Arabidopsis thaliana: one gene and its partner. The protein of the gene in region 2 interacts with the protein of the main gene of each other region in a biochemical or structural test. Each region holds a gene or a part of one and is shown on either strand. Other genes may lie near its edges. The genes, in order: ABCD1 and PEX19-2.

Region 1 (5,121 bases), on a different chromosome or scaffold from region 2:
CCATAGAACTAAACAGTAGTGGTATACGCTTTACTGTGCAAAAAAAAAAAGCAATGAAAAGGGAAATTGATAGTCATATTATGTTCTAGATATAAAGCGTTCACCTGTAATCAGAAGATTAGACCCTTGCTCAACTCGAAGGGTGAGATCCTCCACCAAAACATTTCCGGTTGGAGTAACAACCTAGAGTGTGTTAAGAAACATTAAGAACACGACATTTTGGAAAGGATTACAGTAACATGAATCTATTCCAACTACCTTGACATCGGAAAACTCTACATAATTAGCTTCACTTAGATAATTTCTGCTTCTATTTCTCTGGAAAGACGATTTATCATCACCACTGAGTTCTCTTGAGACAGCCATCAACTCATGGATTCGGTCAGCATAACCACTGCCGGAAGCAACAACATTCCAATAATTAGAAACAGCTAAACAGTATTCACCATTTAAGCGTCTGACATGAGATCCAACATAAAGCATTACCTGAGTCGGTTGAGCCGCCTGGAACTTATAGAAAGTGTTCCCAACGCCTGAAAGAGAGATATAATGACACTAGTGTGATATCTTATATTGCTAAGCATCTCAGCTCTTCCTAAGGTCGAGTCGTCAGGTCTTAGATGCCCAGAGAAGAATGGTTCGATAATCAGAATAACTGCAACTGTGGCCCCAAGATACTTCAGCAGAAAATCTTGGATCATACCAAACCACCAGTGATCATGAAGCACGTGACTCATATGGCTAACAAGATTCTTGAACTTTTGTTGTATATGAGATTCTTCCCTGGTTTCCCCACCATAGAATGCTATGCTTTCCGAATGAGTCCTTAAGCGTGAATGAAGTTGCCGGTACTCTCCTTCTAACTGCTGTTCCTTGGACATCAATTTCCCAAAAGAAGGAGAAAAGTTTCTTATCGCCGTCCCAGCCCCCAGTACATAGGCCTACACAACAATTGTATAGGTTAGTTTATAGATACCAGACCGAAAGAATTGTACTGTGAACGGATACAAGGAAAAGCAGCATAAATGGCCCAACATAAGGTCAATCTTGAAGTATAGAAGATTAAACATGAATCACCAGTATCCAGAAGATGTATTTTGGACTAGCATATGAACACAGGCGCCATGCATACAAAATTCCATCAGTAACCGCCGTCAAATCATCCAGTATAAGATCGCTCAACTCTGAGGAGAATCTTGGTACATCGCTGGCAATTCTTTGTTCAGGGTGCGTAATCCGACCATCCACGTGTGATATTTTGTAATATACCATATTCTGAAAACAACAATTAAAACTGAGTGAAGAGATATCCAGCAGTCTGAAGTATACTCGATACTCTCACTAGTCAAAAACACTCGTATCTAAAGAAATAGTAAACAATTGAATGGCAGAAGAGATGGCAGTTGCTACCTCAAAATAGTGTGAATGGATAATCTTGGTCAATATCTTTCTGAATCGCAAACTCAATGCCCCAGTTATGTACTTTGAAGTAGAGTGCAATGTTGATAGCATGAAACACAACATAATATTCTCGGAGATGAGCCGTAGAAACAGTGGCGCACGCCTTAAGAAAGCAGCACGGAAAAGGAAACCTTGCACTTTTGCCAATCTATTGCTCAAAGCTGTTCTGAAAACCTACAAGTTATAGAATAACAGATTGGAAAGAGTACTAGTCCCGCATAAGTAAGAGAAGTAACCAGACTTTTCCCGACTATTGGCCGTAAAGTTAGATTGGTGTTTCTTTCAGCTAAAAAGAGAGACACCCGGTATTCCATAACAATAAAGCAACGGTTCGCAATTGTGAATTTCCATGAATATCTACAGGACTTTGCAACAGCACGAGATCAAACTTAAACAACCAGACAGAAAATCTATCTGACTTGGGCAAAAACATAAAACAAAAGTAAAAACTTATTAATTAAGAGGAAATGCATACCACGGTGGCGACTAGTGCCAAAAGATCCCTGGCACCCATTTTTCCCATCTGAGAGAGAAGAATAGCAGTCAGAACCTGAAGAGACTTCAATCCTCCTCCTTTCTTCTTTTTCGTGGTTATCTTTGCATTTTGATCAGTTGCAGTCAGCTTTTCCAAAGTCTCATCATCATCACTCTGACCATTGCAAAGACGCGAAGAATCAGGCCTCCGGGAAGCGACCCTTGATTTCAGGTAAACAGCAGTTCCACCAGCAGCTACAATCCCAGCCGCAAGCAGTATAGATTTCCTAAAGAATGAAACAGAGAAAGATGAAATCTGAGCCCAAACGAACAAAAAAAACTTCCATCTAGAATACAATGAAGAGCAAGGAAATGGTTACCGTCTTGACGCTACAAGACCCCGACCCCGCTCAGTTAACTGCAATAGTTGAAGTGAAGGCATGGCCTGGAATTGAGTATATTTTCCAACCAACGATTAATCAGAACCAAAACTGGTTTCTTCTTGACAACAAGTGTCCAAAACACCTGAAGTAATACCAAAACTCCAAGGTTATGAATATTAGAACAACCAAATTATAACAAATCTAAAGCAAAGAAAAAAAACGTGTAACCGTTGAAATTAATGCAAAAAATGTGAATTACGCCTAAAGTAAGATTCTCACACTTTTGGATCAAGAAGAAAAACAATGAAAATGATTCATGTATAGTAACACGCGTAATTAGAATCCTAACACAGACAAAAATTGTTTAACAACCCAGCAAATTTGATCCTGATTACATACATAAGAAAGCGCAAAATCTAGATTCGTAAATCAAAAAACAAAACAAACCGATAAAAGCTTAGACAATTGCAAAAAAGCTTATGCAATTAAACAAATCCATGACGAATTACCTCAGCATGAGAGATTCGACCAAGGAGTGTCTCCGGGAGGGATAAACGAAACAGAAGCTAAATATAAAAAAAAAACTCGAGAAATCGGAAATCGTAACAACAACAACAACCACTTAGCTAGAATTCTAGACCATGTGAATCTCAACGCCGAGGAAATTAATTCCGACTACGCCACCAACGGCAACGAGACGTACTAGTCCACCGTGACGGAACTCCCCCAAATCGAGAGATAGAGATAGAGAGAGAGAGAGAGAACGAGAGAAAGTGAGAGCCGAAACTTGGGAAGAGGAGAAGATGATGACGCTTATTTTACACGTGCGAACATATTCACTCGTGCCATTTTTTACTTTTCTTCTATTTTTATACCATCTTCTTGTCTAGTACTAATTGATTTCGTTACGAATGCTATCAGATATTTTTACCTTATTTTTTAGATTTTTTACTCAGGTAACTCTAGCCACCGTTTCATTCTCGTTAAAAAAAATGTTAACGCTGTACTGTAAAAATAAATAAAATATCTTAGCCTAGTTGGTAATGTATCAAACTATCAATTGTTTCTTTTTTCTTATTAAAAAACTTGGTACTAAAACCATGTATAGACAGATTTATTTCCTTTATGTATAATTTGAATACAAATAGTACTATGTATAGAAGTGTCGAGTCCTATGGACATACACTGCTATCCTTCCATTGGTAAGTTTGTTTTTTCTAATTGAGGAAATTGTGATTGGTCTGTAAACTTAAATATATGATAGACATATTAGCAATAAAATCATGGATTGTTATTTCATGTTTGGAAAAAAAGTTGAAATTCAAACACGATAATATACAAGGACATTTGAAATTTGCACGAATTATTGAGTCATCAGATATGTGAAATAAAATGGTTGTTAAAGATTGTTCACTAAAAGAGTTTAATTTGGTAAAGTTAAAAGTCAATACTTTTCACAAATTGATATTTAAGGTGTGAATTTTGTGAAGTGGGAAAAGTGCAAATTGTACACCGCATGATTGAAGCACACAAATCAATGTTGTGATACTGTGATGTCTTCCTACTTTGTTTCTGATAAGTACATATTACATCACTCCTTTCGCCCAACACAATCCGTATACTAAACCAAAATGGGCCTTAACTTGATTGAAACCCAATACAAAAAAATGTTATGGGCATTTTTGTTCACGGGTCTTTAAACTGGTTGATCTGGTGAATTATCACAGCACACAATAAATTTAGGAATTCACAATTGAATAATGTACATGTGATACCAAAAGTTGAATGAAACGTTTTTATACAAGTGCCGAGTTTCTAAGTGACAAGATTGACAAAATAAGTAGGCTATTTATGACATTTGGGCATTGCCTACATTTAGAAACTTTTTCCTCGATTTTTTTATTTGGCTAATTGTGCTTATAAATTTCTATCGTCGTGATAGTTGTGCATGTAATTTCTATGATTTGACAAAAAAAAAAAATAATAATAAAATTGTAAAATAGATTCAAAGTTGGAGGAACTCTATTTTCAGTTTCATAATACACACGTCACGTCATAAAGTTAAAACAACATTCCGGCACAATATGAGGTGAGGTGATGGGCCTTGAGAAATGAGTGGCCCATACAACAACACGTTAGGACACAAAAGCCCCATTTTTCTCACCATACGCCCCACACTCAATCGCCAATCCACCGACACAAGTCAATAAAACACTACAGCACCCAGTTCCGTCGGTAACTCCTTCAATGACCGAAATGCCCCATCCTCACGAAAGTCGTCGACTCTACGATTCCGTAGACCCCACCTTATTTAATTTTTGACTTCTCATATTTTTTTTATTTCAAACAGAAACATTTAATTTTCGCGGTTATCAAGAAAAACATTTAATTAATTCATTCTTCTCGCCGTCCACATTTCACAACATATTTGTAATTTTTACAAAGAAAAAAAAGAGACAATTATAATGAGATTATGAAATTTTATTCCACATTTATCGATTTATTATAAATACAATTGAAGTTTTTAAAAAAAGTTTCCAACCATCCACCAGTAATTGTTCTTTCTATTGCATTTCTCAGCTAAAATTTTGCCGAATTTTTCAAAATTTAAAATATAAAAATACAAAGATAGAGAAGAATAAAATAAAGAAAATTTCAATTTTTCTTCCCTTCGTCACCGCCTTCTTCCAAGTACTCTTTCTTCCTCCTCTCAGCATTAGATAACAGACAAATCAAAAGGAAACACGTGGCATACACACCGTGTATCTTCCAGTTCGTCTTCGGAGGCTGACGAAGCACCACC
Region 2 (4,212 bases):
TCATAGCAAGAAAAATGAATATTTTGTTTTAAAAAAAGACATAGCTTTAAGTTTATAAGAAAATAGAGATGATTGCCAAAAGGAAAATGTATATGTTTGTATATTATCAAAATTTTATAACAAAATGTAGGCTCAAAATATAATTTGGGGTATATTTTGTCATATTAAGTTTTGTTAAAATTAAGTTATAATTTAATATTTTTAATTGTTTATCACAAATAAAAATTAATAAAAATACTTTTACTTCTTAAGAAGACAATTTATTTACATTTTTTGGGTCAAAATTGCTAAAATAGAATCAAAATCGGATTAATTTTGATTAAATTCTGGTTAAGTCAAACCGGATGAAAAATTATCAGTTAACTGGTCGGTTCAATTGGAGGCATAGTTTTAAGAACAAATCCGAAAGTATGTGTAGTTTTATCGAGATTAAAGTTTTTTATGATGGTTTTTTAAGTGGCTAAAAGTTTAGAGTGAAAAGTTGAGATTCCAACTAGTATAGGACCGAAAATTCAGCCAACCCATGAGACTATGATGCAATGCCTCTTTGGCTCTTTCCTCTTTTGATTTGACGTGACAAACCTTACATAGGACACTTCATTTATTGAACAGCCGAAATGAATTGGATGAAGAGCACGTTTATGTTTCAGTGAATTTATGAATTTGTGTGTAGAGATTCAAAATTATTCCAAAACAGAACTAACCAAAAGGAACAAGAACCGAAACCCAATAACTTTGGTATTCAGGTAAGAAAAAAAAAAGAACTTAAACAAGCTTTGCATTGTACAATGCACAAGAGAAACAAAAACATGTTCTCCATTCTTCAATGGCTGGACAAGGCCAAACAGTTTTCTAAAACCTGTTTCTTCCCTCACATTACACAACAATTTGGTGAAGACTCGAGCATGTCCGGAGACCTGTGAACATATATATATACAAAACTTAGTCACCTTGGGGTCTTTAAAGATCACAGAGATTCCAATAAGGAAGAAGACTTACATTTGGCCCAGACTAGCGAAATCAAAGCCAGGATCCATCTCTTGCACTATATCACTCGGTGGTTGTCCACACTCTTGCATCTTCTGCATTATCTCCATTATCTTGGTCGAATTGTTTGGTTCGTTCTCGTACACCAAGTTGAGTTCTTTGATAAGTTCATACTGGCGTGAATAACGATCGAATTCTTCCTTGTTTAGACTGGATTCATGCTCTTCTAGCCATTTTGGGTATCTTGCACCAATCTCTTTCATTGGTTCGTGAAGAATATCCTTCGATAACAGCTGTTGCATCATCGTGTCCACTATCGACTCCAAGTCCTAAACAAAAACATGGAAATTATGAAATGAGAAATCATAAAAACAAAACTTCTAGTGATCAAGACTACTTTCAAATGGTTCTGCAAACTAATTCTCATCTTCAATTGTGGTTTTTTCGATATTAGTATCAGTATCACTACTATTAACACAGCCTTCAAAACTACTTTGCAACATGTGTTACTACTCTGCAACAACCTTAACTAGATGAAACTTTAGTAATCTAATCTAATCAGAGAACTTGAAGATAAAGAGAACATTAAACTAGATAAGTATAGCAAGAAGTAACAACTCAGTTTGTGTATACTTACGTTAGACCCAGTAAGATTCTCGAATTGCTTGATCCAATCTTCAACCATAGCATCATCAGAACCTGTAGGTTGCTGCTTCGATGACAAGGACTCAAGTCCCTTCACAGTTTCTCTAGTTTGTTCCCTGAGTTTATCAAGTGCCTCAGTAACATGGTCCTCTTTAGCAATCTTTTTCTTTCCTTTCTTCTTACTCCTCATATCTGGTAACCCCATTCCAAGACCTTGAACCCCACTTGGCAATGACTCTGTCTCTTTTTTATCACCCTCTTCTTTCTTAACCCCTCCATTTCTACATAAATCCAAAGCTAATCAACACCACAATTCCCACCAAAAACATAACAGAACCTCTAATTTAGTATTGATGTAACCACAATCTCAAAACTCTAGAGCTAAGTAATCTAACCACGTGGCATAGATACAATTAGAGAGAGACAGAGATTATGAGAAAAAGGAGTAACCTTTGAGTAAGATTAAGATCCTTGAAATCATCCAAGGCACCTGAGAAAGACCCAGAATTCTAAATTATAGAAAACGAACCCACAAGAACAAAAACGTTTTTCACCAATCACCTAGAATTGGTGAACATGTTATCAAATCAAATTAAAATTCGTTAGGAAATTATTACTATCGAGAAGCTCGTCTAAGTCATCGGTGTGAGTATCGTTGGCCATATTCTCGAGTCTCTCTTCCTCAACTCTCGAAGAAACTCACAAAATTCGAAGAGGAAGAGAGAATTATCGCATTGAAGAGAGAAACAAATTTCCAAAGGCGGTGTTGTTCAATTGATCAAGTTCAGGATTCGATCCAACGGCTGACATTATTTCCATTAAAGAATTATATTATTAAAATCTTAAAATGACTTGAAACCACGAAAGCCCATTAAGTTTAACTGTGTTGTGTCGTAAGCCCATTTTTTCAAGAACCAACGACATTGCCACAGAACATTTTTTTTTTTTTTACTCGCAAGTCTCTCAAGCAATGGCGCAGACATTAATGGCGACAACTCGTCCGTACGTTCTTCTCTCTTCCACAAGAGCGAGTCTTTATCGCCTTTTTCAATCTTCAAAGAGACCCTTCGCTTCATTCTCAGCTCCTCTCGTGAGATTCACTAACTCGAGATGTGTAAGCGCCGTTTTGTCTCGTAAAGAGACTGCGCCGTCGTCGATTTACGGCAATAGAGTTTCTAGGGTTTCTGGGTTTGGTGCTTTGGACATTCGCAGCCTTAATTTCAGTACTAAATCCTCTCAAATCAATGATGCTGGTTCTATTGATCAAACCCTTATGCAATCCATGGAGCTAAAGGTTGGATTTTTATACCTCATTAACTAATTTCAGTGAAATTGATTCATTGTGTATGTTTCAGTGTCAATTCAATTTATAGGTTATAGTATTATTAGTGAATTTTTGAAGGAATTGATTGGATACTTGGTATTGGCAACATGTGTCATATTTAGTTGATGGAAACTTGGTATTGGCAACACGATTGCTCTCAGTAGCTCCAAAATGATCAAGATCACTAAGCTAAGATAATTAATGAGGAATCATGTCTCTTACTTATATGATTGAAGCAAACGATTCTTTTTTTCGATTTATCAACACATGTCTCTCTACTTATGAGGTTTTGGCTTCATTTGCAGATCAAAGAACAATTGAATGCAGAGTCGGTTACTGTAACGGATATGTCTGGAGATGGACGTCATGTCTGGTAAGTACTCTGATTTAACTCATTTTTGTCTTCCAATGATGATTCTTTATTACACTTGAGTGAAGTTGCAGATGTGTGTTATCACTGTTATGGATAGTGTTTAGTGAAGTTTGTTAGATATATAGATAAATTCATATTTTGAGATTCCTTTTCTTTCATTTTAATCACAAAAAAGTTTCAGGTTCAACAAGTAGTAGAATCATCAAAGTTGGGATATAAGTTAGTACTTATTCTTCTGCTCTTGATGGAATCCAGTCATAGATTCTTACTTTAACTTGTCATATTAGATGGTTCTGTTACTTAATACCAGTTTTGCTTAATATTTGTAGCATCAATGTGGTATCATCGGCTTTTGAGGGACAATCTGCAGTGAACAGACAAAGGATGGTCTACAAAGCCATTTGGGAAGAGCTTCAGAACGTTGTTCATGCCGTTGATCAAATGACAACAAAGACTCCTTCTGAAGTTTGAAGCGTTAAATTTTCCGAACTCTAAAAGGCTTCAATATCTTATATTATTTGATTAGCTGACAATGCTGTTTGTTTTATCAAAAAGAAAAAAGCAAAAGGAACTGATATACAGCTTTTGGTTATTTTTTAAGTACTTTGATTGGTTCTCTTGCAACCCGCCAACACATGTTAAGTGTTGGAGCGTTTGCGGTTTGCGGTTACACGTGTTTGGCGTTTTCAATCGCTCTAAATGAATAAGAACAAAATTAGCGTTTGTGGTGGCGGATTATCTTCAAAATAAACTTTATTCTCTACTAGCTAATGTTATCATTTCAAAAAAAAAAATTTAGTCGATAAATAGATTAAAATATATTTGTGGTCATAAAAATTATATGTATGCATGGAAACGTATCAATTCAAAACTGAAAAGTTTT

What was found.
Region 1: the proteins of PEX19-2 (region 2) and ABCD1 form a complex in vitro, tested with the Arabidopsis thaliana proteins (one study listed by BioGRID).

Annotation. Positions count from the first base shown.
Region 1 is NC_003075.7:18,486,476-18,491,596, reverse strand, and holds the start of ABCD1 (peroxisomal ABC transporter 1), read right to left. Parts: upstream 3,164-5,121; 5' UTR 2,828-3,163; exon of another isoform or gene 2,461-2,827; 5' UTR 2,378-2,460; coding exon 2,316-2,377; intron 2,223-2,315; coding exon 1,937-2,222; intron 1,636-1,936; coding exon 1,411-1,635; intron 1,276-1,410; coding exon 1,078-1,275; intron 942-1,077; coding exon 487-941; intron 395-486; coding exon 259-394; intron 184-258; coding exon 105-183; intron 1-104. Other genes in the region: AT4G39840 (cell wall integrity/stress response component-like protein), read right to left, coding at 4,974-5,121. UniProt on the Arabidopsis thaliana protein: Contributes to the transport of fatty acids and their derivatives (acyl CoAs) across the peroxisomal membrane. Provides acetate to the glyoxylate cycle in developing seedlings.
Region 2 is NC_003076.8:5,785,872-5,790,083, forward strand, and holds PEX19-2 (peroxin 19-2), read right to left. Parts: upstream 2,434-4,212; 5' UTR 2,296-2,433; coding exon 2,250-2,295; exon of another isoform or gene 2,123-2,249; coding exon 2,083-2,122; intron 1,914-2,082; coding exon 1,625-1,913; intron 1,317-1,624; coding exon 1,000-1,316; intron 918-999; coding exon 872-917; 3' UTR 543-871; downstream 1-542. Other genes in the region: AT5G17560 (BolA-like family protein), read left to right, coding at 2,603-2,926, 3,262-3,329, 3,659-3,800. UniProt on the Arabidopsis thaliana protein: Contributes to morphology determination of peroxisomes, but not to import of peroxisomal matrix proteins. Required for proper post-translational import and stabilization of peroxisomal membrane proteins (PMPs).